Macaca fascicularis: one gene and its partners. The protein of the gene in region 1 interacts with the protein of each later gene in a pairwise test. Links are inferred from orthologs where the notes say so. Each region holds a gene or a part of one and is shown in the gene's direction. Other genes may lie near its edges.

Region 1 (9,882 bases):
TTATTTCCTATGTGACTTTTGCTAAGTTAAATAATCTGAGCATATAAAATGGGAATAATAATATTGACCTTGTGAGATAATTATTGAAAGACATGTATAAATGTGAATATATTTGTCACCTCTCACATGCCAGGTCCTCTAGCCCTCAGAGTAGCCACTATCAGGATAAATAGGAAGGCAAATATAGCAGGCTATGGAAGACTAAGAGGATAGTATGAGATGAATGTGATGTGGAAAGGTTTCCAAGGCCAGGCATGGTGGCTCATGCCTATAATCCCAGTACTTTGAGAGACCGAGGCAGGAGGATTGCTTGAGCCCAGGAGTTCATGACCAGCTTGGGCAGCATATTGGGACACTGTCTCTACAAAAAATACAAAAGTTAGCTGAGTGTGATGACACATGACTGTGCTCCTAGCTACTCAGGAGGCTGAGGTGGGAGGACTGTTTGAGCCCATGAGGTTGAGACTGCAGCAGTGAGATGAGCCACTGCGCCCGGCCTCTTGCAGGACTTTTTAGATAATATTAAGGATTTGGAATTTAATCCTAAGGATTAGGAGACCTATTAAAGGATTTTGTGCATGGGGTGACACAAGATGTTTGCTTTTTGAAAGATCACTTTAGTGGCCATGTGGATAATAAACTGGAGAGAGGCAATGATGGATGCAGGTAGGGCAGCTAGGAACTATTGCCATAAGTCGCGCAAGAGAATGCAGTGATTTAAAATAAGCGGTGGCTATGGAAATAGAAGAAAATGAGCATGGTGGCTCACACCTGTAATCCCAGCACTTTGGGAGGCCAAGGCAGCCGGATCTTGAGGTCAGGAGTTCAAGACTAGCCTGGCCAACATGGTGAAACTCTGTCTCCACTAAAAATACAAAAAAATTAGGTGGGCGTGGTGGCATGTGCCTGCAATCCCAGCTACTCAGGAGGCTGAGGCAGGAGAATCACTTGAACCCAGGAGGCAAAGGTTGCAGTGAGCTGAGATCCTGCCATTGCACTCCTCCAGCCTGGGTGACAGAGACAGACTTCATCTCAGAAAAAAAAATAACTATTGAGATACATATTGGAGGCAGGATTGTGATTATGATTGATTCAATGTGAATAAGAGGAGGAAATCAAGGATGACTTCCAGGTGTCTAGACTGAGCTATAAAATGGATCATAGTGCCATTTGCTAACAGAGAGATCAACCACTGGAGAAGGTGAGGTGGTGGCTGCTATAATGAGTTCATTATTGGAGACATTGGGCTGAGGGTGTCTATGTCAAATGGTCAGTCATGTAAGCTATTGGGCTATTGGGCATTTGAATGGCCTGGGGTGGAGATAAAGATGTGAAAGTCTTTGGAACCAAAATAGTGACAGAACCTGTGTGATTTTTGAGAGAGAGAGAAAGAGAGAGGGAGACAGAGAGGAGAAGGGAAAAGGTGCTAAGACAGAATCCTAGGATCTCTAGCCCAGAGCCAGTGGAGGAGACTCTGGCAAAGGAGAGAAACAACAGCCAGAAAGAAAGAAGGAAAGTCAGAGTGCTTCCAGGAGGGGATGGTCAGCACTGACAAAAATAGTCGAGGGGTCAAGCACAAAAATAGTTGAAAAGAATCTATTGGAATGAGTTACATGAACGTCACCAGTGACACTGATAATAAAGCAGTTTTTGGACAGATGGAGGTGCAGAGGTTGGCTCAGAACTCAGAATGGACTGAATAAGAAGTGAATAAATAAGAAATGATGACATAATGTAGAGGATCAGATCAAGAGATTTGGCCTTGAAGGGGATATGGGGCAGGAGTTGAGGCATAAGTGGGATGAAAGGGAGGTTTTTGTTTTCCTTTTGAAGATAGGAATAACTATCTTTTCATCTTATTTCCCCCCACTGCCTGCCCCCCACCACCCAATGCTCCAGCTCCATAGGTCTTTCCTTTCTTTGGTCCTGTCTCATTCACTGTTCCCAGCGCTTACCACACTTTTTCCTAAATCTCTGAACGGCTCACTTCTTTTCATTATTCATGGCTCTGCTCAAATGTCACTTCATCCAAAAATTATTCTGAGTTTCTTCTTCTCCTCATTGTCAGTTACTGTCTTATCTTCTTCATGGCTCTGATTATCTGAAATGATTTTATTTGTTTATTGATTGATTATACATATCTTCCTTTTGTTTGTTTGTTGTTTGTTTGTTTTTGAGACAGAGTCTCCCTCTGTCACCCAGGCTGGAGTGTAGTGGCGTGGTCTCGGCTCACTGCAACCTCCACCTCCTGGGTTCAGGCGGTTCTCCTGCCTCAGCCTCCCGAATAGCTGGGACTACAGGCATGTGCCACCACACCTGGCCAATTTTTGTATTTTTAGTACAAAAATTTTTACTAAAGAAATGTTGTATTTTTAGTAGAGACGGGGTTTCACTATGTTAGCCAGGCTGGTCTTGAACTCCTGACTTCGTGATCCACCTGCCTCCGCCTCCCAAAGTGCTGGGATTACAGCACTTTGGCGTGAGCCACTGCGCCCAGCCTCTTTTGGTTTTTTGAGACAGGGTCTCCGTCTGTTGCCCAGGCTGGAGTACAGTGGCATGATCTCGGCTCACTGCAGCCTCCACCTTTCGGGTTCAAGCAATTCTTGTGCCTCAGCCTTCCAAGTAGCTCACACCCAGCTTTGTATTTTTAGTAGAGACAGGGTTTCACCATGTTGGCCAGGCTGGTCTCGAACTCCTGACCTCAGGTGATCTGTCCTCCTTGGCCTCCCAAAGTGCTGGGATTACAGGCGTGAGCCACTGCCCCGGCTTGGTTTGTTTTTTGAGACAGGGTCTCGCTCCGTCGCACAGGATGGAGTGCAGTAGCGTGATCTTGGCTCCTGTGCTCAAGTGATCCTCCCACCTCAGCCTCCCAAAGTGCTGAAATTACAGGCGTGAGCCACGGTACCCGGCCTATATCTCCTAATTAAAAGTAAAGCCTGGGGTAAACTGGATGAAGTTTACGGCCTGTTAAATACATACATGTATTATATGCGTTATTATATCCCATGTGTTACATTATATATTATTGTATATGTGTATTATATACTATGTACTATTCTTACAACTGTATGCAAATCTATAATTACCTCAAAGTAAAGTTTTGTTTTTGTTTTTTTGTTTTTTTGTTTTGTTTTGTTTTTTGTTTTTTGTTTTTTTTTGAGACGGAGTCTCGCTCTGTCGCCCAGGCTGGAGTGCAGTGGCGCGATCTCGGCTCACTGCAAGCTCCGCCTCCCGGGTTCACGCCATTCTCCTGCCTCAGCCTCCCGAGGAGCTGGGACTACAGGCGCCCACAACCGCGCCCGGCTAATTTTTTGTATTTTTAGTAGAGACGGGGTTTCACCGTGGTCTCGATCTCCTGACCTTGTGATCCGCCCGCCTCGGCCTCCCAAAGTGCTGGGATTACAGGCGTGAGCCACCGCGCCCAGCCTTGTTTTTGTTTTTTAAAGTAAGTTCTGTGAGAACTGGGATTTTGTTTGCTTGTTGACAGTTGTGTCTCCATCACCAGAACTGAGTCTGGCGTGCAGTGGGCACGAAATAAGTCTTCGAAAAAAGTGTGAATTAACGCCCGGCTAATTTTTGCATTGTTAGCAGAGACGGGGTTTCATCATGTTGGCCAGGCTGGTCTCGAACTCCTGACCTCAAGCGATCCACCTGCCTCGGCCTACCCAAAGTGTTGGAATTACAGGCGTGAGCCACCGCGCCCGGCTGATCACATTTAAAGGGCGGGATGGGGAGAGTACAAACAACAGAGGAAATCCTGAGCCGCAGAGGAAACTGGAGACGGCAGGGTTTAGCACTAGAATATCTGTAAGAGAGGTAGGATTGGAATCTGAATCTCCAGAACTCTTTCCACTACCCAGGCTCTCTCTCCATTAATGGACTATTGATTGGACGACAGAGTAATGATAGCACCGTCTTAGGAGACGTCCAATCATAGGTCATAGTTCAATGCAGCTTATTGTGATTACAACAGTGGAGGATGGTCCTTACAAGCGGCTGTTCTCTGATTACCATTAAGCATGGCCACGCCCGCACTTAACTTCTGACAGTGGGGAAAGAGGCTGTGTGTGACAGCTTGGAAGGTTTACTACTGCCTCAAGTCCTCTTCTCTGCAGTTGAGGTTTCAGGTTTCAATCCTCCCAATACCACAAGACAAAGCACCTGGCGGCTGCCGCCTCCGCCTCCGCGCCTTAACCTAGGCGGTTTGCCGAAGATTTCAGCCCCGCGGCCGCGCACTCGCCCTGCCCTAGACCAGGGTTGGGCGCATCGGCGGAGGTTGCTTCTTGGCTGCGCGAGCTGCGCGCGCTGGGAGGCGGCGATCGCAGCTGGGCCGGGACTTCCTTCCTCCACCGCACGACAACAAAACAACCCTGCAGCAGGCACTGAGTGCTTGGCAGCTGTCTGGGCGAGAGGCACAGCGATGGGCTCCGTGCTGAGCAGCGACAGCGGCAAATCGGCTCCCCCCTCTGCCACCCCGCGGGCCCTGGAGCGCAGGGGGGACCCGGAGTTGCCCGTCACGTCCTTCGATTGCGCCGTGTGCCTTGAGGTGTTACACCAGCCTGTCCGGACCCGCTGTGGCCACGTGTAAGTGCCAGGGGAGCTCGGTTTGGGCCCACCCCTAAGGAGGGCGATGTCGGGAAGCTGAGGGCATGGTGTGGGGAAGGAGGGGGACGGAAGACAGCGCCTTAGGAAACTGCTGCAGAGAGAAACCTGGACCCGTCGGGTGCGGGGCCACGGGGAAAACGCCGGTCGGAAGGTGACACAGGATTTCGGGAGGAGAAAAAAGAAACAATCGGGCCCTGCAGCCCCCTTGCGCTGCCTCCTCCCGAAGTCCAGGTGCGGAGCTCCAGAGAAGGGGATCCAGGCACGGGTCCCGCCCAGAGCCAGGGCTCGCCAACAGGGGAGGGTGCTCTTGGCTGGAGAACGAGCGCTCGCCCGGGCACGAAAAAGAAACGAGCTCCAACTGCAAGGCAGGGGCTCCCTCAAAGCGCAGGTACCCCGCTGAACACGGTGGAACAGGCTGCGCTTCCCTCTGCCCCAGAAACTCGGGTCCGTTTTGTTTTGCTGGAGCTGTGCACGTGTTCCCAGAATGCCCACAGAGGCTCGTCTTAAGCAAACAAGGATCTGTGCAAAGTGTTTTTTCCACCCCCACCCCTGCTACCCTTTCCCAACACAGACACCCATCCCCTCAAAGAGCAAGTCAAACTGGAGCTTCCGAGTGACTTTCCACAAGTCGTTAGAGTTTAACAACCTGCTAGGGTGGGGCTTGGACGTTAGCCGCAAGCCCCTGAATGTACTCCTCCAAAACCCAGCCACAACGTGACAGGAGGTGACAGACTACCTGCTTTACACGCCGTCTCTCCAAACCGGCAGAAATTACAGAGTAAAATAACTTTCTCAAAACGGCATAGTACTTAGCTAAAACTCACAGTTGGTGCAAAGCCGTGGTCGTTTCTAAGAAGAGTTTAAAAACAAAGTTCCTATATAAAATTGGCACATGCTTAATGTGTGCTTGAGTAACTGGTGAAGTTGGATCTGTGAATTCGTGCTGTTTACTTTGTGTGTGTGTGTGTGTGTGTGTGTGTGTGTATGAGAGAGAGAGAGAGAGAGAGAGATAGTCTGACTCTGTCGCCCAGGCTGGAGTGCGGTGGCGGTGGCAGGATCTCGGCTTACTGCAACCTCCACCCACTGCAACCTCTGTCTCCCCGCCTCAAGTGATCCTCCTGCCTCAGCCTCCCGAGTTGCTGGGATTACAGGCGCCCACGACCACACCCTACTAGTTTTTGAATTTTGAGTAGAGATGGGGTTTCACCATGTTGGCCAGGCTGGTCTTGAACTCCTGACCTCAATTGATCCACCCACCTCGGCCTCCCAAAGTGTTGGGATTAAAGGTGTGAGACACTGCACCCAGCCTTCTCTCTTTGGTTTGAATTTTGTTCGTGGATGTGTGTGTGTGTGTGTGTCTGCACGGATCAGAAGCGGAAGCCTACTTAATGTCCTTTGAAGGGTGACTATAGTATGATGAAGCCCTGTGTGATACCACAGTGGCATGTACTTGTATTTGGCTTAGCAGGAAGAAAGAAATGCATTTGGCTTAGCAGGAAGAAAGAAATAGCATTATTGCTTCTGAGGATCACTTTTGAAAGGATTTAGGTAGTCCTTAAAAACATGTTGTGCACTTGCATTCAGAAGTTTTGAGGCCGGGCATGGTGGCTCACACCTGGAATCCTTAGGTGATCCTTAATACCTATAGCCTTGTATCTGAAAAGCAGTTTTCACCACTGCCCAACCTGTGAGCCAGGGAAAAAAGTGTGCAGCCTGCACAATGTATAAATAAAGAGTGCTTTGGGCATTATTTCGTAGCTGTATTTTCGAGGCCTGTTGTTTCAGCTTTGTTCTTAAAACTCGAGGCTTAAATTTACCCTCCTTTCTGATTACTAATGTTGCTCAGCTGTCCAGATGTAGCTCATTAACGTAATATCCACAGGCCAATCTGGAAGCCAAGATGGGCTGTGTGAGTCATAAAATATATTGATTATTTTAGGGCAATAACAGCCTAAAGATACCTCCATTGAAATTGAATCATTATTAGCCTTAAAACTTTGAAGTTGTGCAAAACATAAACAGTGGGCATTTTGAAGATTCTTTTTGGAATAGACCGCTTTGCTGCTAATTCAATTATCTGACTGGAGATTGTTTTCCTGTTTTGGACTTTGAATAGTATAACTTACCATTTACAATATTTTTCCTTCTACTAAAGGATAATGTAAGTTTGCAAAATGTTCAATTTTTTGTTTAATCTTTTTCTTTGTTAAAGTGAATAGGAAACTAGCAACTGGAAAAATAACCATAAAATAGCATTACAAGGGCTGAACAAATTGCCTTTCCTCTCTTTACTGTTCTTTGTTTTGACAAATCTATGTCCATTGTTCTAGCTGTGGGCAGAATTTCCATATTCCTCCTTTTGGCAAACTTACTTGGGCCCCTTCCACTTTATAAATGTTAACCAGAGTCTTTTCTGCTGTAGAGATTATGAGCGTTGTTAATGCCATTTGTACATTCTAAATGAATTACTCTTTTCCATTGAAATTAAGTTGGAAAATGAATAAATGCAAATGAACCTTCTGTATTTTATTATCCCATATTGAAGCTACAGTTTCAGACATATTGAACTAGGTGGTTTATGCTGATTTTCAAGTCAAACAAGTTTAATAGTAACAGCAGTACCTTGACTGAATATGTACAGAGCACTTTATAAGTTGTATTGTGATGCAGTAGTAACTGGCCCTTATAGAAAGCTGGATTTGAAATTCCCCTCTGCCACTAGCAAGCTGTGTGACCACTGTAGGGAAATTTGAATTTGATTTTTTTCCCCTAAAGGTTTGATCACTTGAGTCTATGAAACAAACTGCTAATAGATTAACAGGGGAGGAAAGGCCTACAAATGTATTAATGTGCATATGGGCACGGGAGTCATCAAACTATGAAAACTGAAAGGGCCAGATGCTTGATGCTTTTATACCATCTTGAGGTTACACCAGAATAGGGGCTTGGAACATGGTTATGGGAGGGCAACAGAAAGAAGAGACTGGGGCAAAGATGGTCTAGTTATGCAGATGAAACTTCATAGATAGCAGCTCCTAGAAAGAATAGGCATGAGCCTGTGTTAAGTTGCTCTGTCAGACCTTCCTAGGTGTCAGACCTTCAGTTAATAATTTCCTAGGTACGGATAAGGGGGTGGCTCCAAGAAAGCCTGGTTGTTTATTTCACCAGTGTAGATTTTCTCTACAGATACAAGTCTCCGCCACAAAAGGCAGCTTTTTAGGGTTATTCCTGTATGCGGGAATATATCAAAGAAGTACATTTTGGGGTGAAATACTTTCAGTTTCCTTGAGTCCCCCATTTTAACATTTCCTTTATTTCCTTTTATTATTTTTTACTTTATTTTTAGAGGTGGGATCTCACTCTGTCACCTAGGTCACAGTGTAGTGGTGCAATCATGGCTCACTGCAGCCTCTACCTCCTGGGCTCAGCAATCCTCCTGCCTCAGCCTCTCGCGTAGCTGGGACTACAAGTGCCTGCCACCATGCCTGGCTATTTTTTACTTATTTATTTATTTTGAGATGGAGTCTCACTCTATTGCCTAGGCTGGAGGGCAGTGACGTGATCTCAGCTCACTGCAACCTCCGCCTCCCGGGTTCAAGTGACTCTCCTGCCTCAGCCACTCTAGTAACTGGGATTAAAGACACGCACCACCATGCCCAGCTAGTTTTTGTGTTTTTTGTAGGGGCAGGGTTTCGCCATTTTGCCCAGGCTGGTCTTGAACCCCTGAGCTCAGGTGATTTGCCTGCCTCGGCCTCCCAAAGTGCTGGAATTACAGGAGTGAGCCACTGCACCCAGCCAAGAAAGTGACAATTCTTTACATACCGCAAGGTCAGGAATTTTGTAAGGGAACTATATACACAGGGTACCAGGCCAATCTTTTTGTAAGTCTATTGGTGTTTTAATGTCAATCTCAGTCCCTCAAAGCAGTTTGATCATGTATCTAAGTATGACATTCCAGTTAAAGCCTTGGGAAAATAACCACTGTCTCCAATTATGTCCTGTTCAGATTGTTACTGAACTTATGCATGTAACTATATTGCCATGAAATAAGAATACGCAAAAAACAGTTTGTCAATCCAAAGAGAAAAAGGTAAATTATTTTGCTCACAAAAGTATACTTGCCCGGGTGCAGTGGCTCATGCCTGTAATCCCAGAAGTTTGGAAGACCGATGCAGGAGGATGACTTGAGACCAGCAGTTTGTGACCAGCCTGGGCAACATAGCGAGACCCCATCTCTAATACACAAAAGTCTTGTTCAAGAGAAAACCGTATTTTACTTTTGAATCAATATATCAATAATAAAGCTAATTTAAATAAAGCCTAATAAACAAGTCCATCTAATTTCAGTCAGCTTTGACCACACAAGGTAAGATTTACATATCTTTTATAACCTCTTAGAATTTTTCTTCTATTTCCAACTTTCTGTATTCATTTAGTTTTATCTATATCTTTTTTTATTCTTTCAATTTGAAACAATCTTTAAATAACTTCTGGACAAAATTAATTTTCCATTAACAAAAAAGTCACACCATGCCATTCTTTTTTTTTTTTTTTTTTTTTGAGACTGAGTCTGGCTCTGTCGCCCAGGCTGGAGTGCAGTGGCCGGATCTCAGCTCACTGCAAGCTCCGCCTCCCGGGTTTAGGCCATTCTCCTGCCTCAGCCTCCGGAGTAGCTGGGACCACAGGCGCCCGCCACCTCACCCGGCTAGTTTTTTGTATTTTTTAGTAGAGACGGGGTTTCACCGTGTTAGCCAGGATGGTCTCGATCTCCTGACCTTGTGATCCGCCCGTCTCAGCCTCCCAAAGTGCTGGGATTACAGGCTTGAGCCACCGCGCCCGGCTTTTTTTTTTTTTTTTTAAGACGGAGTCTCACTGTGTCACCTAGGCTGGAGTGCAGTGGCATGACCTTGGCTAATTGCAACTTCCGCCTACTGCGTTCAAGCGATTCTCCTGCCTCAGCCTCCCGAGTTGCTGGGATTACAGGCGTGTACCACCACACCCGGCCTCATGCCATTCTTATAACCTTTCTCTCCAAAAACATAATCTTGCTTTTTTTGTATATTCTGCCTGAAGAATTGTTTCTTTTATTTCCAGTAATTTTGTTTGTTTTTAGAGACATGATCTAAGAATAAACTACTCAGTGATGTGATCATAGCCGACTGCAACTTCAAATTCCTGGGCTCAAGCAATCCTCATACCTCAACCTCCTTAGTAGCTGGAACGACAAGCATGCCCCACCACACCCTGCTAAAATTTTATTTTTTTATAGAGACAGGG
Region 2 (9,844 bases), on another chromosome or scaffold:
AAAAAATTCAAAAGGGTCCAGTATGCATCTTACTGTCAGCTTACCCAAGGGAGCATGATAAATTGAGTCCCTGACATGTGGACATGGGGAGTATAGGGGGAGGGAATGGCAAAGGCACCACAGGCAGAAGGACCAGTCTGGGCATGGTGGGGGGCGTGATGTGGCACAGCACTGATTGTGGGAAGCAAGGGATGTGGGAGATGAGGCTTCAGGTTGTCAGAGGGAGGTTGAGGCAGAGCCTCACCTGCATACTCTAGACAGGGTCCAACTCCTGATACCCAGCTTCCTAGCCCAGTGACGGGCCACTTCTCTCAGGGCCACAGTTTTCTCTCCTATCAAATAGAACATCTCAGCACTGCTCTGTGGTGCCAGTGAAGGGTATAAGTGTCCGGTGCCCAGCTGGCCATTTCCTGCCCCAGCAGAGGCATTTGCTTTTCCTTGTCCTCTTGCCTACTGGGAATTCCTTCCATCCCCGGTTCCTCCACCAGCTTCTGTGAGGCCCCTCCTATGAGCCCCCACACCTCACTAAACCCTCAACACCCTCTGGTGTTTTCCTTGGTGCCTCCTCAGGATGCTGCGAGCTCCTTGGGGGCAGGTGGTGCCTGTGTATCTCTCTTTTTTTTTTTGAGACGGAGTCTCGCTCTGTCGCCCAGGCTGGAGTGCAGTGGCACAATCTCAGCTCATTGCAAGCTCTGCCTCCCGGGTTAATGCCATTCTCCTGCCTCAGCCTCGGGAGTAGCTGGTACTATAGAGGCCCGTCACCGCGTCCGGCTTTTTTATTTTTTTGTATTTTTAGTAGAGACGGGTTTTATTGTGGTCTCAATCTCCTGACCTTGTGATCCACCCGCCTAGGCCTCCCAAAGTGCTGAGATTACAGGTGTGAGCCACCACGCACGGTCCTGAGTATCTCTTTTTCTGGACCTGGGCCCAAGGCCTAATAGATGAGTGCCCAGGACTCCATGCTGACTGGAGGAAGGAACAGCATGTGGTCAATGTGAGCAGAAGGGCCGGTAGTCCAGGAGGAAAAAGCAGTCACTTCTTTTTAAAAAAATTTATTACTTTTTTTTTTTATTTTGAGATGGAGTCTCACTCTGTCAGCCAGGCTGAAGTGCAATGGCATGATCTTGGTTCACTGCAACCTCCACCTCCTGGGTTTGAGCGATTCTCCCACCTCAGCCTCCCAAGTAGCTGGGACTATAGGTGCGTGCCACCACACCCGGCTAATTTTTGTATTTTTAGTAGAGACAGGGTTTCACTATGTTGGCCAGGCTGGTCTTGAACTCCTGACCTTGTGATCTGCCTGCCTTGGCTTCCCAAAGTGCTGAGATTACAGGCATGAGCCACTGCGCCTGGCCTATTTATTTTTGTAGATATGGTGGTCTTGCTCTGTTGCCCAGGCCAGTCTCGAATTCCTGGCCTCAAGTAATCCTCCCGCCTCAGCCTCCTAAATTGCTGGGATTATAGGTGTGAGACTGTGCCCAGCCAAAAGAGTCCACTTCTTTTTTTCTTTTCTTTTCTTTCTTTCTTATTTATTTATTTATTTATTTATTTTTTTGAGACATGGTCTTACTCTTTCACTCAGGCTTGAGTGCAGTGGCACAATCATGGCCCACTGCGGCGTCAATGGCGTCAATCTCACAGGCTCAAGTGATCCTCTCACCCCAGCCTCCCAAATAGCTAGAATTACTTGGCCATCACACCTGGCTAATTTTTTTCATTTTTATTTTTTGTAGAGCTGGGGTCTCCCTGTGTTGCCCAGGCTGGTCTCAAACTCTTGGGCTCAAGCAATCCTCCTGCCCTGGCCTTCCCAAGTGCTAGGGTTACAGGCATGAGTCACCATGAGGTTACTTCTGATGGGAGGCTTGGGGAGATGGCACAGAAAGGATAGGTGTGTATGAACAGGGTTTGGCTGAGTGGAGGGGATTGGGTATGACTAGAAGTCACGCCTACTAGAGGGAGGAATGAAGGTTTTAGAACGAGAGAGGGGCCCCAAAGGCCAGGCCGCCCTTCCACTGGGACTGGGTACATTTCCTGAGTGCTTGTTTAGCAAAAGCACTTTGCAGCTCAGCGGCTTGGCTCCCCACTTGCAAAGTGCAAGAGAGTCATCTTGCAGGCAGCGGTGAGGATGTAAGAAGATGCCATGGTAAAGGCTAGTCCTTGACATTGAGCCTCTGATGATCCCACTCTCTATTCTCAGCTTAGCACATCGGGTCAAAGGTATGAATTGTGCTTCCTCATCTGGCTTGGAATTTCTCAGAGTAAGGGTCCCTTTCCTCTGTAATTCTCCACAGAGGAAAGCAGTTCTCAATAAAGCTATGTTTTTCCTTTGTCCTGGGCTCAGTAAGGGCAGGCCCGGTGCTCACAGTAGACCCCAGAGTCAGTCCCAGGCTTCCAAGTCCACCATGACCCTAGGGAGCTGATGGGGTCCCTCATACATACGCTGAATGTGTATTGAACTTCCAGTGTACTGGCCTTGGGGGAGGTAAAAGGCAGGCAGAATGGCTGCTCACATGAGGCTTGTCATCTAGTTTCTCCCTCCTTTCCTGTGTCAAGCCTGGGGTCCCAAGATGAGTGTGAGGCCAGCCTTATTCCAGGATATATTATTTCCAGTTCCCTTTCCTTCTCTCCTTTCAGGGGAAACCCACTGTTCTTTTTTTTTTTTTTTTTTTTTTTGAGACGGAGTCTCGCTGTGTCTCCCAGGCTGGAGTGCAGTGGCGTGATCTCGGCTCACTGCAAGCTCCGCCTCCCGGGTTCATGCCATTCTCCCGCCTCAGCCTCCCGAGTAGCTGAGACTACAGGCACCCGCCACCACGCCCGGCTAGTTTTTTGTATTTTTAGTAGAGACGGGGTTTCACCGTGTTAGCCAGGATAGTCTCGATCTCCTGACCTCGTGATCCACCCGCCTCGGCCTCCCAAAGTGCTGGGATTACAGGCTTGAGCCACCGCGCCCGGCCGAAACCCACTGTTCTTAGAAATGGAGAAAAATGTCCAAGCCCAGTGACTCACACCTATAATCCCAGCACTTTGGGAGGCCAAGGTGGGTGGATTGCTTGAGGTCAGCAGTTTGAGACCAGCCTGGCCAAAAATGCTAAAACCCTGTCTCTACCGAAAATACAAAAATTAGCTGGGCATGGTGGCAGGTGCCTGTAATCTATGCTACTCAAGAGGCTGAGGCAGGAGAATCACTTGAACCTGGGATTCAGAGGTTGCAGTGAGCTGAGATCATGCCATTGCACTCCACTCTGGGTGACAGAGTGAAACTGTGTCTCAAAAAAAAAAAAAAAAAAAAAAAAAAGAGAACTCCTTAAGAAGGTCTGAGTATATTCTGAAGCTATGTTCTTCTCTCTTCTTTGCTCCCTGAGGTCCAAACCAGTGTCACCTCTTTGCCTGAACGATTGCAACAGGTTTCCAAGTGGCCCCTGCTCCCCTTCTTATCCTCTTACCCACCTCCATTCCCCATTCCAATCAGAGTACTTTTTTTTTTTTTTTTTAAGACGGAATCTCTGTCGCCCAGGCTGGAGTGCAGTGGCGTGGTCTCGGCTCACTGCAACCTCTGCCTCCCAGGTTCAAGCAATTCTCCTGCCTCAGCCTCCTGAGTAGCTGAGATTACAGACGCCCGCCACCACGCCCGGCTAATTTTTTGTATTTTTAGTAGAGCCACGGTTTCACCACTTTGGCCAGGCTGGTCTGGAACTGCTGACCTCGTGATCTACCCGCCTCGGTCTCCCAAAGTGCTGGGATTACAGGCGTGAGCCACCGCGCCCGGCCAACTATTTTATGCAATCAATATTTATTATTTGCCTACTACGTGCCAGGCACTGGTTGTAACTGTCATCTGATTGGACGATCCGTAAACGCTGCGGCTCAGCCTGTGCGGTTCACTTGTGTTCCTCCACGCGCCTCCGAGCACGCTGGGAAGCATACAGTAGGTGCTCTGCTCCGCTCCTGTGCCCCGCCCCGCGGCCCCTCCCCCGCTCCAGGAAGTGCGGGGGCTCCAGCCGCCCGGCCGGCCGCGATGCATTCTGGGGAAGGAGCAGCACCAAATCCAAGATGGCGGCCAGCAGGAGGCTGATGAAGGTAAAAGCCATTCTCTGGCCTCGGTCGGGCGTGGGGCGGCGTCCCAGGCTCCGGACCCCCGAGGCAGGCAGCGGCCTCTCAGGGCGCTGCCGTCTGGCCTCCTGCCCTACACGGCCTCGTCGGTTCCCTGGGCCGCGCGCAGGCTCAAGGAGCTAACGGGGCTGGCCTAGGCCGCAGCCTGGGCGGGAGCGCCAGGCCGCGCTGGGAGCCACTGTTGGCCCCTCAGCCCGGCCCGGGGCGTTCACGCCACCCTCCGCCCGGAGCGTGGCCGCGTCCCCCTGTCGCGGAGGCCGCGGTCCGACGCGAGGGCGTCGTTAATGTGAGAGCCCGGTTGGGAGGCTCCAAACTGAGCGCCTTCGGGGAAGGCCCGAGCGCCGGAGCCCCTGCCCGGAGCCCGTGCAGCGGAACCGCCCCGCCCTGGGCCTCAGCGAGCCGGGCTTGCAGCTCCGCTTGGCCCAGCCGCAGCTCGGAACTCTGGAAGGCTCGGGCTAGGAGAGCGGGGAGGAGGCCAGGCGGCCAAAGTTAGGTCAGTTTGTTGGTGGGTCGTTTGGAATTGCGCTGGGTCCTAGCAAACTGTCGCCTTGTGACTGCAGAGTCACACAGCGGGCAAGTTCCAACTCCAGGAAGGCCTGAGGTCGGCCCCCATCGCGGCGCGGTTCTCCTTCCCTCTCCTCCACTCAGTCATCTCGATCTCCCTTCCCTGATAAAGCAAAATGCCATTTTTTGGGGGGTAACGGTTGGTTTCAGTCGTTCGAATCAAAACGGGCCAAAGTTTATAATAATAACTTGGTACTTTGGATCTTGAATGCAGCAGGGTGCTTTCTTGCTACTTGGCACCTTTTAGTGAGGAACACATTAGCTAAATTGGCTTAGTTCTTTTGCCAGTGGATTTGCCAACGTCCTCCGGAGTCCCCTCCGCCAGCGTCTGTGAGTCGGCGGCTGGCTAGTGCAGCCGGCCTGCAACGGGCCGGAAATTAAAAAAAGGCCCCGGAGCCGGTTTCCTGAGGGGAGATAAAGAGCTGGGGTTCGTTCTGGGCAGAGCAGTGTTTGGTAGAACTAGACATTGAACTTGGAGCCACAGTCTCTGAGCCCTCCCTGCCTCCCTGGGAACGTTTCCTTTCTTTTGTTCCCTAAGGGCTAGAGAGGACATTAACTTTATAAAACTGGAGTGGAAGTGGGCACAAAAGAAAACTCAGAGGACTTCTGACTTCTCATCTCTTAAGCTAGTGACACCACCATTCACCAGATAAGGGGTCGGTTAATGGCTTTCTTTCCTACCCTACTCCCAGGTGCAGTCGTCCTTCAACCCTTGTGGATTTAAATTTAGAAAGTTTTCTGGAGTGCAGGCCGGGCGCGGTGGCTCACGCCTGTAATCCCAGCACTCTGGGAGGCCGAGGCGGGCGGATCACTTGAGGTCAGGAGTTCAAGACCAGCCCGGCCAACATGGTGAACTCCTGTCTCTACTAAAAATATAAAAATTAGCTGGGCGTGGTCGCATTCGCCTGTAATCTCAGCTACCCGGGAGGCTGAAGTGGGAGAATCGTTTGAACCTGGCAGGTGGAGGTTGCAGTGAGCCAAGTTTGCGCCACTGCACTCCAGCCAGGGCGACAGAGTGAGACTCCATCTCAAAAACAAACAAAAAAAAAGATTTCTGAAGTGCATGACTTGCTTTCTAATGTTACTGAAATTACTCTGAATCTGTATCCTCATCTCTTGGGTGCCCTCCGGAGTGCTCTCCTCCCCAGACTACCCCTCACGGACACCAGAGTTCTTTTAAGGCAGATAACTCAATTCTTTTCACTCCTGTTAAAAATGTCTATGGTCTTATTGTCCTCAGCAGTTAATCCTAACCTCTTACTTGGCATGCAAGACCTTTCTGAGACTGACGGAAAGCAATCAGTTGAGCCTCACCTCCTGCCCTTTGGTTTCCCACCATTCTTGCACCTAATCGCAGTAGCTACTATTTTTCCAGCTTTTACTTCGTGCTTTATATGCATGATCATGTTTAATCCTTCCTGTGAAGTAGACATTGTGATTTCCATTTTGTCGATGAGAAAAGATTATTTGGCTTGCCCTGGGTTACCTAGCTAGGGAGAGTGAGCTGTGATCGAACTGGGTTCTTTCTCCAAAGCAAAGTCTCCTGCTCTTACTTGCCCTCTGGTGTCTCTTTGCACGTGTCGTTTGCTCTGCCCCAAAAAAGTTGCCTTCTCCTCACTTCTGCCTTCCAGAGAAGTCCCAGGTTCAACTCCAATGCCAACTGCTCTGTGAGCCCCTGCTTCACATCCCCCTTCAGAATGAGTTGTTTCCTCCTCTGTGTGACCACAGCACTTTATGTTTCTCTTTGAGCACTTGTCACAATCTCTTTGTGTTACAGACTTGTCTTTCCTGTACTGGGTTCTGAGATCCCGAAGGGCAGGGATCTTGACCTAATTCATCCTGGAAGCCCCCTAGCCTATCCCAGTTGACCCAGTTTGGAATCCCCAGGCTCTCAGGGGTCTAAGAGGGGACTTATTACGGGTTTAAAATTATTACTCTGTTTCTAAAAAAATAGACCTTGGAAAAGAATTTGTAACATTAACTGAGTATTTATTAAATATTAGGTTATTTACATAAGTTATCTTTTCAACACTCCAAGTTAGTGTATTGTCGTTTTTATGTTTTTACAAATGAGGACATTGTGAGGTTAACTAGGTTAAGGGAGTTACCTAAGGTAGAATCGTAGAATGTGGTGGGGAGGGAGAAGACACTGACTCTTCCTGTCTTTAGGACCCAAATTCCATGCCTCTTGTCAGGCTGTCTTTCTTACTCAAAGGCTGCATGGAGCGGTGTGTTGTTTCTTAAGTTGAGGATGGAAAGGCTTTCAGTTCACTAGGGGAACGCCAGTTATGTAATGCTGATCATTGGCTGTGAGAGTCAATGTTTAAGACTGGGTAGTTGTTTTTTTTTTTTTTTAAAGAAGAAAAATTATTGATACAAGTTCATCAACAGTCTTTTCAGTACATGGGGTGGAAATAAAGTGATTTTCGTTGGTGAAAAATTGGGACTTAGTGCATAGAACAGTGCCTTAGGCATAGCAATCTAGCAAATGTTGAATGATCAAATTAATTACATCTTTTTTTTTTTTTTTGAGACGGGGTCTCGCTCAGTAGCCCAGGCTGGAGTGCAGTGGCCAGATCTCAGCTCACTGCAAGCTCCGCCTCCCGGGTTCACGCCATTCTCTGGCCTCAGCCTCCCGAGGAGCTGGGACTACAGGCGCCTGCCACCTCGCCCAGCTAGTTTTTTGTATTTCTTAGTAGAGACGGGGTTTCACCGTGTTAGACAGGATGGTCTCGATCTCCTGACCTCGTGATCCACCCGTCTCGGCCTCCCGAAGTGCTGGGATTATAGGCTTGAGCCACCGCGCCCGGCCAAATTAATTATATCTTAAAGAACTTTAGATTTCTGTTAAAAATGTTTTCTAGGACATTCCACAGCAAAGATTTCTTTGTAACAATGGACTGCAGATAGTGTAAAACACATTATTAAAAGTAGAGTGATTTGCATATACTACACTGAGAAGTTATCTTAGGCAAAGTGAGTATGATAAAGTCTTTTATTTCAAAAGCATTTGCCAAGAGGATTAACCTCTTTTAGAACCCTTTTTAGGAATTATAGTGTTAATAAAACATTAAGTACATTTTAATTTGCAAGCAGCTAATTTAGCATTGTTGGCCACAACCAGATTGTAACCATTGCTTCAATCAGGATGGGGAAATTGCTACAAAAGCCAAAAGTGAAACCTTTATGTGTGGCTTAGGCAACTGATTGGCATCTGATCATTTCTTTGCAGCTTCACACTGCACACACTTCCCCCAAGGGCCCATTGAGTAGCTTCCCAGAAGGGCTTTTCTCAGAAGGGAAATCTGTGGATTTAGAGGGGTGTGTGTGTAACATCTTATTACTTATCATGATGTAACTGTTGAGTTAAGGAGTTTCGCTCTTGTTACCCAGGCTGGAGTGCAATGGCATGATCTCTGTGCACTACAACCTCTGCCTCTCAGGTTCAAGTGATTCTCCTGCCTCAGCCTCCCAAGTAGCTGGGACTATAGGTGTGCACCACCATTCCCTGCTAATTTTGTATTAGAGAGGGGGTTTCACCATGTTGGCCAGACTGGTCTTGAACTCCTAACCTCAGGTGATCTGCCTGCCAAGGCCTCCCGAAGTGCTGGGATTATAGGTGTGAGCCACTGTGCCCGGCCTAATGCTATTTAAAAATGTTCACTCAGAACTTCATATTGTTATTCTTTCTCTCAGTCCATAGTCATAGTAGGAGGAGCCTATAAAAGTTCATTCCTTGGGTTTCGTTGTATTAAGCAGTGAGGTAGTTTGCTTTTGAGTATAGGTTTAGATTCTGAGGTTGGGTAATTAAGAAGATAGAGCAATGAGTGTGTCTAGTAGTTGTGTCACATGTGTCAGGAGTTGAGGGGAGTTTTATATGTGATGTTATGCCAGTGTAAATGTCCTGAATCCACTGAGGCTTTGTGAATTGAGAAAAACGTTGCATCTTTTAGTCTAAATTCATGCATTCCAGTAAGTTGGGACTGTTTCAGCCTCCCTTAATGATATTCTTTGTAAATGTTTGGGACAGGTGATGGGAAGGAGTATACTCAATTATTGCAACATTTGGGGCCTTTTAAGGTATTTACTAGAAAACTCTGAGACAGGCCAGGCGCGGTGGCTCACGACTGTAATCCCAGCACTTTGGGAGGCCCAGGCGGGCGGATCGTGAGGTCAGGCGTTCCAGACCAGCCTGGCCAACATAGTGAAACCCCGTCTCTACTAAAAATACAAAAAATTAGCTGGGCGTGGTGGCGGGTGGCTGTAATCCCAGCTACTGTGGAGGCTGAGGCAGGAGAATTGCTTGAACCCAGGAGGTGGAAGTTGCAGTGAGCCAAGATTGTGCCATTGCACTCCAGTGCGAGACTCTGTCTCAAAAAGAAAAAAACAAAAAACAAAACAAAAAAACACCCTGAGACAAAAACTCTTGTCTCAGGGTACTGGGGCCTTTTCTGATCCTGTTAAAACTCTAAATTAGGAGACTGTTGCTTTAAAATTTTATTATAAGAGAACACTTGAAAGTATTCTCATTTTATTGGAACATTTATTACGTTTAAGATATTTCTATATTCTTTGCTACAGCAGTAAATGTGAGAGCCCCACTTCTTTGCAGCTTCACACTGCACACACTTCACACTGCACACACTTCACACTGCACACACTGTGCCCATTAGAGAGCCACGGAGACGTTCCTCCTGAGTCCGGACTCCAGCCACTTCCAGAGTTTTCCTGGGAACGGCGCATAGATCTGTAGGCATCTTAAGTCTTAGCTCCTCCTGTGACTCTCTCCCTCTGGCCCCATGTGTCTCCTCCTGTCCCACCTTACTTAGTTAATAAGGAAAAAACGCCAGCTGACCCCTTCTACGCTCTTCCTCCCTTGTCTGGTCACCTGGCAGATTCTGCTGAACTATGCCTTCAGTCTCTGTTCTCTGCCTGTCTTCTCTCCATCCCCACTCCTACTCCCACTGCCACTGCCTCAGTTCAGGCCATCCCTGTTTATGGTAGACACCTGCATCGAGTTCCTTAATGGTTCGTCTGAACTCCTTACTGGTCAGCACACCCTCTGTCCCACACTATTCCTAACCAGCAGTGCATCAGAGTAGTGTGTGGTGTGTTGTGCAGTAGAATACACATGACCAGGCCCCGCTGACAGAGATTGGAGCAGAATTTA
Region 3 (9,988 bases), on another chromosome or scaffold:
TAGATTTTTATATCTATTTTCCTTTAAAATTTTAATGTATTTGATCTAGCTTGATCTAGATTATTCTATAATAAAAGTAGTTGTAAATCTCTAAAAGTAAGCCTTTTGATTTCTGTAGATCATGGGTTTTTTAACCTTGTCACTATTGATATTTTGGGCAGATAGTTATTTGTTGAGTGGCTCTCCTGTGCATTGTGGGATGTTTAGCAACATCCCTGACCTCTACCAGTATATGCAGGTAGCACCGCAAACCCCCAGCCCATGTCCCCACTATCTCTTCTTGCTGGATGCATCAACTAAAAATGTCCCCAGACTGCCATATGTTGAGAACTATGTAGACAAAACTTTTTTTTGATACAGTCTTGCTCAGTCACCCAAGCTGGAGCGCAGTGGCAGGATCTCAACTCACTGCAACCTCCACCTCCTGGGTGCAAGCCATTCTCCTGCCTCAGTCTCCCGAGTAGCTTGGATTACAGGCGCCCACCACCATGCCCTGTTAATTTTTTTATTTTTAGTAGAGACAGGGTTTCACCATGTTGGCCAGGCTGCTCTGACAAAACTCTTAATAGAGTATTTATGGGCCAGGTGGGGTGGCTTATGCCTGTAATCCAACATTTTAGGAGGCTGAGGCTCGATTGAGGCCAGGAGTTCAAGACCAGCCTGGGCAACATAGTGAGACTTTTGTTACTACTAACATTTTTAAAAAATCAGCCAGGCCTGGTGGTATGTGCCCATAGTGGCAGCTACTTGGGAGGCTGAGGCTGGAGGATGCTTGAGCCCATGAGGTCAAAGCTGCAGTGAATTGTGATCATGTGACCGCACTCTAGCCTGGGCAGCAGCGAGACTCTGTCTCAAAAATGAAAAAAGAAAATAATTCCTGGCTATTTGTTAATTATATAAGAACAACACAGCCAGGCGCAGTGGCTCACGCCTATAATCCCAGCACTTTGGGAGGCCGAGGCAGGTGGATCACGAGGTCAGGAGAGCGAGACCATCCTGGCCGACATGATGAAACCCCGTCTCTACTGAAAATACAAAAATTAGCTGGGCATGGTGGCATGGGCCTGTAGTCCCAGCTACTCAGGAGGCTGAGGAAGGAGAATTGCTTGAACCGGGGAGGTGGAGGTTGCAGTGAGCTGAGATGGCACCACTGCACTCCAACCTCGCAACAGAGCAAGGCTCTGTCTCCAAAAAAAAGAGAATACTTTGAGACTTAACTAACTGTATCAGATGTGTAAGATAATTTATCTAAAGAATAAATGGACCCGGACAGTAAAGACACAAAAAATATATACTGGCTTTGAATGTTTTATTTTTAAAACTTTTAAGTTTGTTCCCCCTTTTTGATGTTTTTCTGTTAAAATTTCTCCCTTTTGATTTTAATAAAAAGATAAAATTCTCTACCAAAAATAAATGTAACGAGAATTTGAACAGTTGTTTAAAACTAGAGGCAGGCTTGGTGGCTCACATCTGTAATGGCAGCACTTTGGGAGACTGAGGCAGGAGAATCGTTTGAGTCTGGGAGGTCAAGGCTGCAGTGAGCGGTGATTGTGCCACTGTACTCCAGCCTGGGTGACGGAGCAACACACTGTCTCCAAATAAAGAGTAGAAAAGTGGTTTTTAAAGTTTTTATTTTCATTTTATTTTTCAAAAGTGTTTTTGAAAGTTACGCAAGTTACAGTTTTATGTAATATTTAAATAGTATTTTTTATGGGTTCTGAAATGGGTTGAGCAGGGAAAGTCTATAGATTGGATTTTTAAAAAAATCAAAGTCTGTGCAGGTAATATGTTTGGGGTGAATTCCTTGTTTACACTGTTACAAAGACTTTGAGCTCTGTCCATTGGGCGTAGGTTTAGACACATCTGGGCTCCCCTAGCTTCTTCCCTTTTTATTTGTGTGTTTTGTTTGTTTGTTTGTTTATTTGTTTTGAGACAGAGTCTCACTGTCACCAAAGCTAGAATGCAGTGGCGTGATCACAGCTCACTGCAGCCTCTAACTCCCCAGGCTTAGGTGATCCTCCTACCTCAGCCTTCCAAGTAGCAGGGACTAAAGGCATCTGCCACCATGCCCAGCTAATTTTTGTAATTTTTTGTGGAGTCAAGGTTTCACCATGTTGCCCAGGCCGGTCTCGAACTCCTGGGCTCAAGTGATCCTCCCGCCTTGGCCACCTAAAATGCCGGAATTGCAGACGTGAGCCACTATGCTTGGCCTGTCATCCCTTCTTAAAAACTATACACTTTTTTTTTTTTTTTTTTGAGACAGAGTCTCGCTCTGTCGCCCAGGCTGGAGTGCAGTGGCCGGATCTCAGCCCACTGCAAGCTCCGCCTCCCGGGTTTACGCCATTCTCCTGCCTCAGCCTCCCAAGTAGCTGGGACTACAGGCGCCCGCCCCCTCGCCCGGCTAGTTTTTTGTATTTTTAGTAGAGACGGGGTTTCACCATGTTAGCCAGGATGGTCTCGATCTCCTGACCTTGTGATCCGCCCGTCTCGGCCTCCCGAAGTGCTGGGATTACAGGCTTGAGCCACCGCGCCCGGCCCACTTTTTTTTTTTTTTTTGAGACGGAGTCTCCGTCTGTCGCCCATGCTGGAGTACAATGGCGCAATCTTGGCTCGCTGCAACCTCTGCCTCCCGGGTTCAAGCAGTTCTCCTGTCTCAGCCTCCTGAGTAGCTGGGATTACAGGCATGTGCCACCATGCCTGAGGGTTTTTTGTTTTTTTTTTTTGGTATTTTTTGTATTTTTAGTAGAGACGGGTTTCACTATATTAGCCAGGCTGGTCTCGAACTCCTGACCTTGTGATTTTGCCGCCTTGGCCTCCCAAAGTGTTGGGATTACAGGCGTGAGCCACTGCACCTGGGCTTTTTTTTTTTTTTTTTTTTTTTTTTTTTTTTGAGACAGAGTCTCGCTCTGTCGTCCAGGCTGGAGTATGGTGGCACAATCTCAGCTCACCATGGTCTCTGCCTCCCGGGTTCAAGTGACCCTCGTGCCTCAGCCTCCTGAGTAGCTGGTATTACAGGTGCACCCTACCACGCCCAGTTAATGTTTTGTATTGTTAGTAGAGACAGGGTTTTACCATGTTGGCCAGGCTGGTCTTGAACCCCTGACCTCAAGTGATCCAACTGCCTCGGCCTCCCAAAGTGCTGGGATTACAGGCATGAGCCACCACTGCCCAGCCAAGACTATATACTCTTATTTCCCAGTGAATACATTATTGACAGTTTTTGAAAATACTGACTGTAGCCCCAAAAAGCTTAACTGGTTGGAGATACAGGGCAGACAAAGGATAGATAAAAATGGTAGGGGCAAAGAGTAAATGCTATGGGATTCTAAGGGTATCTGTATGAGTGAGATTCCTTTTTGTTGTTGTTTTGTTTTTGAGAAGGAGTCTCGGCTCTGTCACCCAGCCTGGAGTGCAGTGGCTTGATCTTGCTCACTGCAACCTTCGCCTCCCAGGTTCAACCAATGCCTCAGCCTCCGGAATGGCTGGAATCCCGGGATTACAGGCATGCGCCACCCTGCCCAGCTAATTTTTTTTTTTTTTTTTTTTTTTTTTTTGAGACAGAGTCTCGCTCTGTTGCTCAGGCTGGAGTGCAGTGGTGCGCAATCTCAGCTCACTGCAGGCTCCGCCTTCCGGGTTCACGCCATTCTCCTGCCTCAGCCTCCCGAGTAGCTGGGACTACAGGCACCCGCCACCAGGCCCGGCTAATTTGTTGTATTTTTTTAGTAGAGATGGGGTTTCACCATGTTGGCCAGGATGGTCTCGGTCTCCTGACCTCGTGATCAGCCTGCTTTGGCCTCCCAAAGTGCTGAGATTACAGGTGTGAGCCACCGCGCCCGGGCACTACACCCTGCTAATTTTTGTAGTTTTAATAGAGGCAGGGTTTCACTATATTGGCCAGGCTGGTCTCAAACTCCTGACCTCAGATGATCTGCCTGCCTCGGCCTCCCAAAGTGCTGGGCTTACATGGTGAGCCACCATGCCTGGCATGCCTGGACTTTTTTTTTTTTTTTTTTTTTTTTTTTTCAGATGGAATCTCGCTCTGTCACCCTGGCTGGAGTCCAGTTGCATGATCCAAGCTCTCTGCAGCCTCCGCCTCCCAGGTTAAGTGGTTCTCCTGCCTCAGCCTCCCAAGTAGCTGGGACTACAGGCGCACCCCACCATGCCCAACTAATTTTTTATATTGTTAGTAGAGACAGGGTTTTATGATGTCGGCCAGGCTGGTCTCAAACTCCTGACCTCAAGTGATCCACCTGCCTCGCTCTTCCAAAGTGATGAGATTACAAGTGTGAGCCACCATGCCCAGCCAAGACTATGTACTCTTATTTCCCAGTGAATACATTATTGATAGTTACTGAACATGTTGACCACAGCCCCAAAAGGCTTACTGGTTGGAGATACAGGACAGACAAAGGATAGATAAAAATGGGAGGGGCAAAGAGTAAATGCTATGGGATTCTGAGGGTATTTGAATGAGGGAGGTTCTTTTTTGTTTTTGTTTTGTTTTGAGTCAGAGTCTCTGTCGCCCAGCCTGGAGTACAGTGGCTTGATCTTGGCTCACTGCAACCTCCACCTCCTGGCTTCAAGTGATTCTCAGGCCTCAGCCTCCGGAATGGCTGGAATCACAGGCATGCGCCACCACACCTGGCTAATTTTTTGTATTTTTAGTAGAGACTGGATTTCACCATGTGGCCAGGCTGGTCTCACACTCCTGACCTCAAGTGATCTGGCTGTCTTGGCCTCCCAAAGTGCTGGGCTTACACGCATGAGCCACCCGACCTGGAGTTTTTTTGTTTTGTTTTGTTTGAGATGGAAACTCACTCTCACCCAGGCTGGAGTGCGGTGGCGTGATTTTGGCTCACTGCAGCTTCTGCTTCCCAGGTCAGGTAGTTCTACTGCTTGACCCAGTAGCTGGGATTATAGGCACGTGCCACCACACCCAGCTAATTTTCCTATTTTTAGTAGAGATGGGGTTTCTAGCCAGGCTGGTCTCGAACTCCTGACCTCAGGTGATCCGCCTGCCTTGGCTTCTGAAAGTGCTGGGATTACAGGCGTGAGCCATCGTGCCCGGGCTGTATGACTGTATGAGGGGGGTTCTTGAGCTAGGTGCTTTTTGTTGTTGTTGTTGTTGTTGAGACGGGGTCTCCCTCATTCGCCCAGGAGCACAGTCATAGCTCACTGCAGCCTTGACCTCCTGGGTTCTAGCAAGCCTTCCACCTCAGCCTCCCAAGTAGCTGGGTCTACAGGTACGTGCTGCCACACCCAGCTAGTTTTTACTTTTTGTAGAGATGGGGTCTCACTATGTTGCCCAGGCTGGTCTTGAACTCCTGGCTTCACACAGTCCTTCTGCCTCAGCTTCCCAACGTTCTGGGATTATAGGCATGAGCCACCTCACCCAGCCTTCTTGAGCTGAGGAAAGTTAAGACTGACCTCAAATTTCAGGAGACAGTCCCAAAGGAATTGTGGTAATATTGCGATTCTTTTTTTTTTCCCCCCCGAGACAGAGTTTTGCTCTTGTTGCCCAGGCTGGAGTGCAATGGCGCAATCTCGGCTCATTGCAACCTCTGTCTCCTGGGTTCAAGCGATTCTCCTGCCTCAGCCTCCTGAGTAGCTGGGATTACAGGCATGCACCACCAAGCTCAGCTAATTTTGTATTTTTAGTAGAGACCGAGTTTCTCCATGGTGGTCGATCAGGCTGTTCTTGAACTCCCGAACTCAGATGATCTGCCAGCGTTGGCCTCCCAAAGTGTTGGGATTGCAGGTGTGAGCCACCACGCCTGGCTGAAATTCTTAAGTAAATAAACTTTTCTCTAGGCACATGAATTGGAACTATGGAACAAAGAGATTATTGATGCACTTATTCAAGAAACACATTTACATATGTAGAACAGAAAGGTTGCACAGCTCTTATATACTCAAACATAGTTGTAGAGTTAGATCATGTTCTTAACTTTCTTCATAGTTACCTTTTGGGGAGGAAAACCACCCTTTTTCATATTAAAGTAAAACGTGTACATAATAAAGTGTGACTGGCATCCAAATCAAGAAACAGACCCTTCCCAGTACCATAGGAATCCTCCTTCCTTTCTAGTTACTTTCCTGACTTCTAATAACAGATTAGTTTTGAGTATGTTTGAGTAAAAGAACAGATGTGAGTATATGTTACGTATTTTAAGTTGGAAAGTTTTCAAAAGATGCTGTTCAAAATCTGTTAAGAAAAATATAGTGTCTTAGAAAATGTACTAAAATGTATTGAATTTCAGTGCTGAAATAGATCTAGGCCAAACTCCTCATCTATAAAATCAGGAAACTGAGGCCCAAGGAGGTTGATTGTTCCTCAGAGAAACAGCTGGTTAATGGTTGAACCCAGGCTTTTTGCATACCAGTTTAGTCATAATAAGTAGTTGGTTTGTGGGAATATCCTTTTCATAAACGATAGTGTAAAAGCTGACTGCTAATACAACTTTACAGAAGGAGATAACAATGCAGTATTATTTAAATGTGTCTTTTCTTTTCCCCCTCTTAGTATGAGAACTTAAACTTGCCAAGGAGGTAGAGATTTTTAACTCCTGAAGCATAATTTAGTGAAGTTAGCTTAGTAATTAAGAGCATGGGCTTTATAATTAGATTTGCTTTGAGTCCTGGCTTTTCTTCTTAAAACCTGAAGTACTGGCTCTGTATCTCGATTATCTTTATCTGTAAAAACTGTGGGAAGATTAAGAGTGTCTTTACAGTGCTTAGAATAACCTTGGGACATAATTAAACAGATAGCTGTTAGATGTCAGAAGTAGCTATGTTTTCATATTCTGTTGTGCTTATTGTTCTTGAATTATAAAGGTATTGTTCAATGGTTTAGTGATTACTGGATGTAAATATGCCTCAAGAAAAGCTCAATATGAGGGCTATGGTACTTCTAATAGTGTTTCTTTGTCACCTGTGTGCAAATAATCCATGGGGCTGGTAGCCAAGTAGTCCACCCTTATCTGCAGTTTCATTCTCTGCAGTTTCAGTTACCCACTGTCAACCATCGTCCAAAAATAAGTGAGTATAGTACAATAAGGTATTTGAGAGAGCACATTCACATAATTTTTATTACAGTATATTGTTATAATTACTCTATTCTATTATTGTTAATCTCTTACTGTGTTTAATTTATAAATTAAACCTTATCATAGGTATGTACATATAGGAAAAAACGTATAGGGTCAGTACTATCCGTGGTTTCAAGCATCCAATAGGGATCTTGGAGTGTGTCCCCTGTGGATAAGAGGGGATATATTAATACAGAGGAATATATGTGGGCTCTGTTCTCCAGATGTGATTTATTTAATCTTTCTTTAGGAGACAGTTATAAATTGGAGAAAAGTTTGTGTTAAAATGTTACCTTCCTGAATGAAAAAGTTTATTTGGGAAACTCTCAAATGATATAGAGATAATGGGATTATTTTGGATTTCTTGACATGGCTCTGGTTTCCTGAAACTAGAGCAAAGAATCTAGATTCTAATCCTATGGTATATAATCTTGGATCCCTTTGCAAATCTCTTCTTCAGTGGGCTTTGGGAACCAGAAAATAAGTGGTCTCATTCATCTGACATCCATGTTATTCTCTTATGTAAATCTGAAAAGGTGGGAGAACTTTATTTCACTGAAAATGCTTTTTAAAAAATTTTTTATTTTTTTAAGGCTAGTCCAACGAAGCAGTGGAAATGGAAAAGGAAAAAAGTCTGTAACTGGTTATGATCAATTAATTGTTAACACCACTGAAAAACCCTTTTTTCCTTTCTCTTCCCTTTAGTTCTTTGCTTTTACTCCAAATTTAGAATAACTGCCTACAGTTGAATGCCTACTGTCTGATTGATTGATTGATTTTAAGACACAAGGTCTTGCTCTGTTGCCCAAGTTGGAGTGCAGTGGCAGCAAAGCAAGACCTTACAGCTCGCTGTAACCTTGAACTCCTAGACTCAAGTGATCCTCCTGCCTCAGCCTTCCTAGTAGCCACCACACTTGGCTAAATTTTCTTTTTTTAAATATTTTGTGGAGTTGAGGGTCTCACTATATTGCCCAAGCCAGTGTCAGACTCCTGGACTCAAGCAGTCCTCCTGCCTCAGCCTCCCAAAGTCCTGGGATTACAGGCATGAGCTACTGCACCCTGCCTGTCTCACATTTTTTATATATGGCAGCTGTATGAGATTGATAGTATTCTTGTTTCACAGATCCAACAGTTGCAGCTGGGAAGAAATTAAGTAGCTTCCTCAGTATCAATGACTTGCTGGTGGGACAGAGGTTTGAAACCAGGTGTCTGCCTCCAAAATATTGGTGGTTTTGGTGGAAAGAGTTACACTCATATCTGCTGCTTGCTCCCTACATTTTTGAAGATTTTTTTGAAACTATGAAATACTTTATATTTAGAAGTTTTAAAAGTAATACATGAACATCTTTATATCTGTGGTCCATATTTAACAGATTGTAATCTTCTCATACTGTGGGCTAAATTGCCTCTACCCAAATACAGTAAAATATAGAGGTAGAGCTCATTGGATAACTTTTTTCTTATTCCATTTTTTCTTTCTAGGAGTATCTGCTATGTGAAGCTAGTGTATATTCTCCCCCTTCATATTTTGTTTTTACTGTTAAAGATAGTATCTCCTGAATTTAAAAATGAAATACTTTTTGCTTTTTTTAGAAGTTTTTTTTAAAAAAAGTTTTTATAGATGATTGTAATGTGCATCTCTTGGAAACTTTTTCTCTTAGCATTATTTTTTAAAGATCTGTGATAGTGCATGTTGTGCTAGTTCTTTATATTGTATTCCATGTCAGTTTTTAAAGTTAATTTTTCTATTGATGGCATTTAATTCCAACTTTTAGATAAAAGGATGTACTGTACATTTTTACAGTTTTTGGGGGGACATATAAGAGTTTTTCTTGGAAGTAGAATTGCAAGATCTGAGCATATTTTCAGCTTCTGCGTGACTGGATTTTGCTTCATTGTTCTCCAGATGATTGAATCAATTTACATTCCCACTAAAAGAGTTCTGGCCGGGTGCGGTGGCTTACTCCTGTAATCCCAGCACTTTGGGAGGCAGAAGCGGGCGGATCACCTGAGGTCAGGAGTTCCAGACCAGCCTGACCACCACGGAGAAACCCGGTCTCTACTAAAAATACAAAAAATTGCCGGGCGCGGTGGCTCAAGCCTGTAATCCCAGCACTTTGGGAGGCCGAGACGGGCGGATCACAAGGTCAGGAGATCGAGACCATCCTGGCTAACATGGTGAAACCCCGTCTCTACTAAAAATACAAAAAAACTAGCCGGGCGAGGTGGCGAGCGCCTGTAGTCCCAGCTACTCGGGAGGCTGAGGCAGGAGAATGGCGTAAACCCGGGAGGCGGAGCTTGCAGTGAGCTGAGATCCGGCCACTGCACTCCAGCCTGGGCGACAGAGCGAGACTCCGTCTCAAAAAAAAAAAAAAAAACAAAAAATTAGCCAGGCGTGGTGGTGCATGCCCATCCTGGGCAACAGAGGGAGACTCTGTCTCAAAAAAAAAAAAAAAGTCACTATTTTTTGTAAGACTATCTCCGGAAAAAAGGGGGGAAAAAAGTAGTTACTAGAACCCCCCTGTTTTTTTGGAGATGGAGTCTCACTCTTGCCCAGGCTGGAGTGCAATAGTGCTGACTACATTTTTTTTTTTATACTGAGTCTGGCTCCATCGCCCAGGCTCGAGTGCAGTGTTGCGATCTCAGCTCACTGCAAGCTCCGCCTCCCGGGTTCACGCCATTCTCCTGCCTCAGCCTACCAAGTAGCTGGGACCACAGGCACCCGTCACCACGCCCGGCCAATTTTGTGTGTGTGTGTGTGTTTTTTTTTTTTTTTTGAGACGGAGTCTCGCTCTGTCACCCAGGCTGGAGTGCAGTGGCCGGATCTCAGCTCACTGCGAGCTCCGCCTCCCGGGTTCACGTCATTCTCCAGCCTCAGCCTCCCGAGTAACTGGGACTAC

What was found.
Region 2: the proteins of RNF125 (region 1) and UBE2L3 interact in a two-hybrid assay, tested with the Homo sapiens proteins (2 studies listed by BioGRID and IntAct). The link is inferred for Macaca fascicularis from reciprocal best matches to the Homo sapiens genes RNF125 and UBE2L3.
Region 3: the proteins of RNF125 (region 1) and UBE2K interact in a two-hybrid assay, tested with the Homo sapiens proteins (2 studies listed by BioGRID and IntAct). The link is inferred for Macaca fascicularis from reciprocal best matches to the Homo sapiens genes RNF125 and UBE2K.

The regions. Positions count from the first base shown.
Region 1 is NC_088392.1:57,849,460-57,859,341, reverse strand, and holds the start of RNF125 (E3 ubiquitin-protein ligase RNF125), read left to right. Parts: upstream 1-4,381; 5' UTR 4,382-4,420; coding exon 4,421-4,584; intron 4,585-9,882. UniProt on the Homo sapiens protein: E3 ubiquitin-protein ligase that mediates ubiquitination and subsequent proteasomal degradation of target proteins, such as RIGI, MAVS/IPS1, IFIH1/MDA5, JAK1 and p53/TP53.
Region 2 is NC_088384.1:31,556,566-31,566,409, reverse strand, and holds the start of UBE2L3 (ubiquitin-conjugating enzyme E2 L3), read left to right. Parts: upstream 1-4,024; 5' UTR 4,025-4,050; coding exon 4,051-4,077; exon of another isoform or gene 4,078-4,603; intron 4,604-9,844. UniProt on the Homo sapiens protein: Ubiquitin-conjugating enzyme E2 that specifically acts with HECT-type and RBR family E3 ubiquitin-protein ligases.
Region 3 is NC_088379.1:38,996,613-39,006,600, forward strand, and holds the start of UBE2K (ubiquitin-conjugating enzyme E2 K), read left to right. Parts: upstream 1-4,011; 5' UTR 4,012-4,026; coding exon 4,027-4,100; intron 4,101-9,988. UniProt on the Homo sapiens protein: Accepts ubiquitin from the E1 complex and catalyzes its covalent attachment to other proteins. In vitro, in the presence or in the absence of BRCA1-BARD1 E3 ubiquitin-protein ligase complex, catalyzes the synthesis of 'Lys-48'-linked polyubiquitin chains.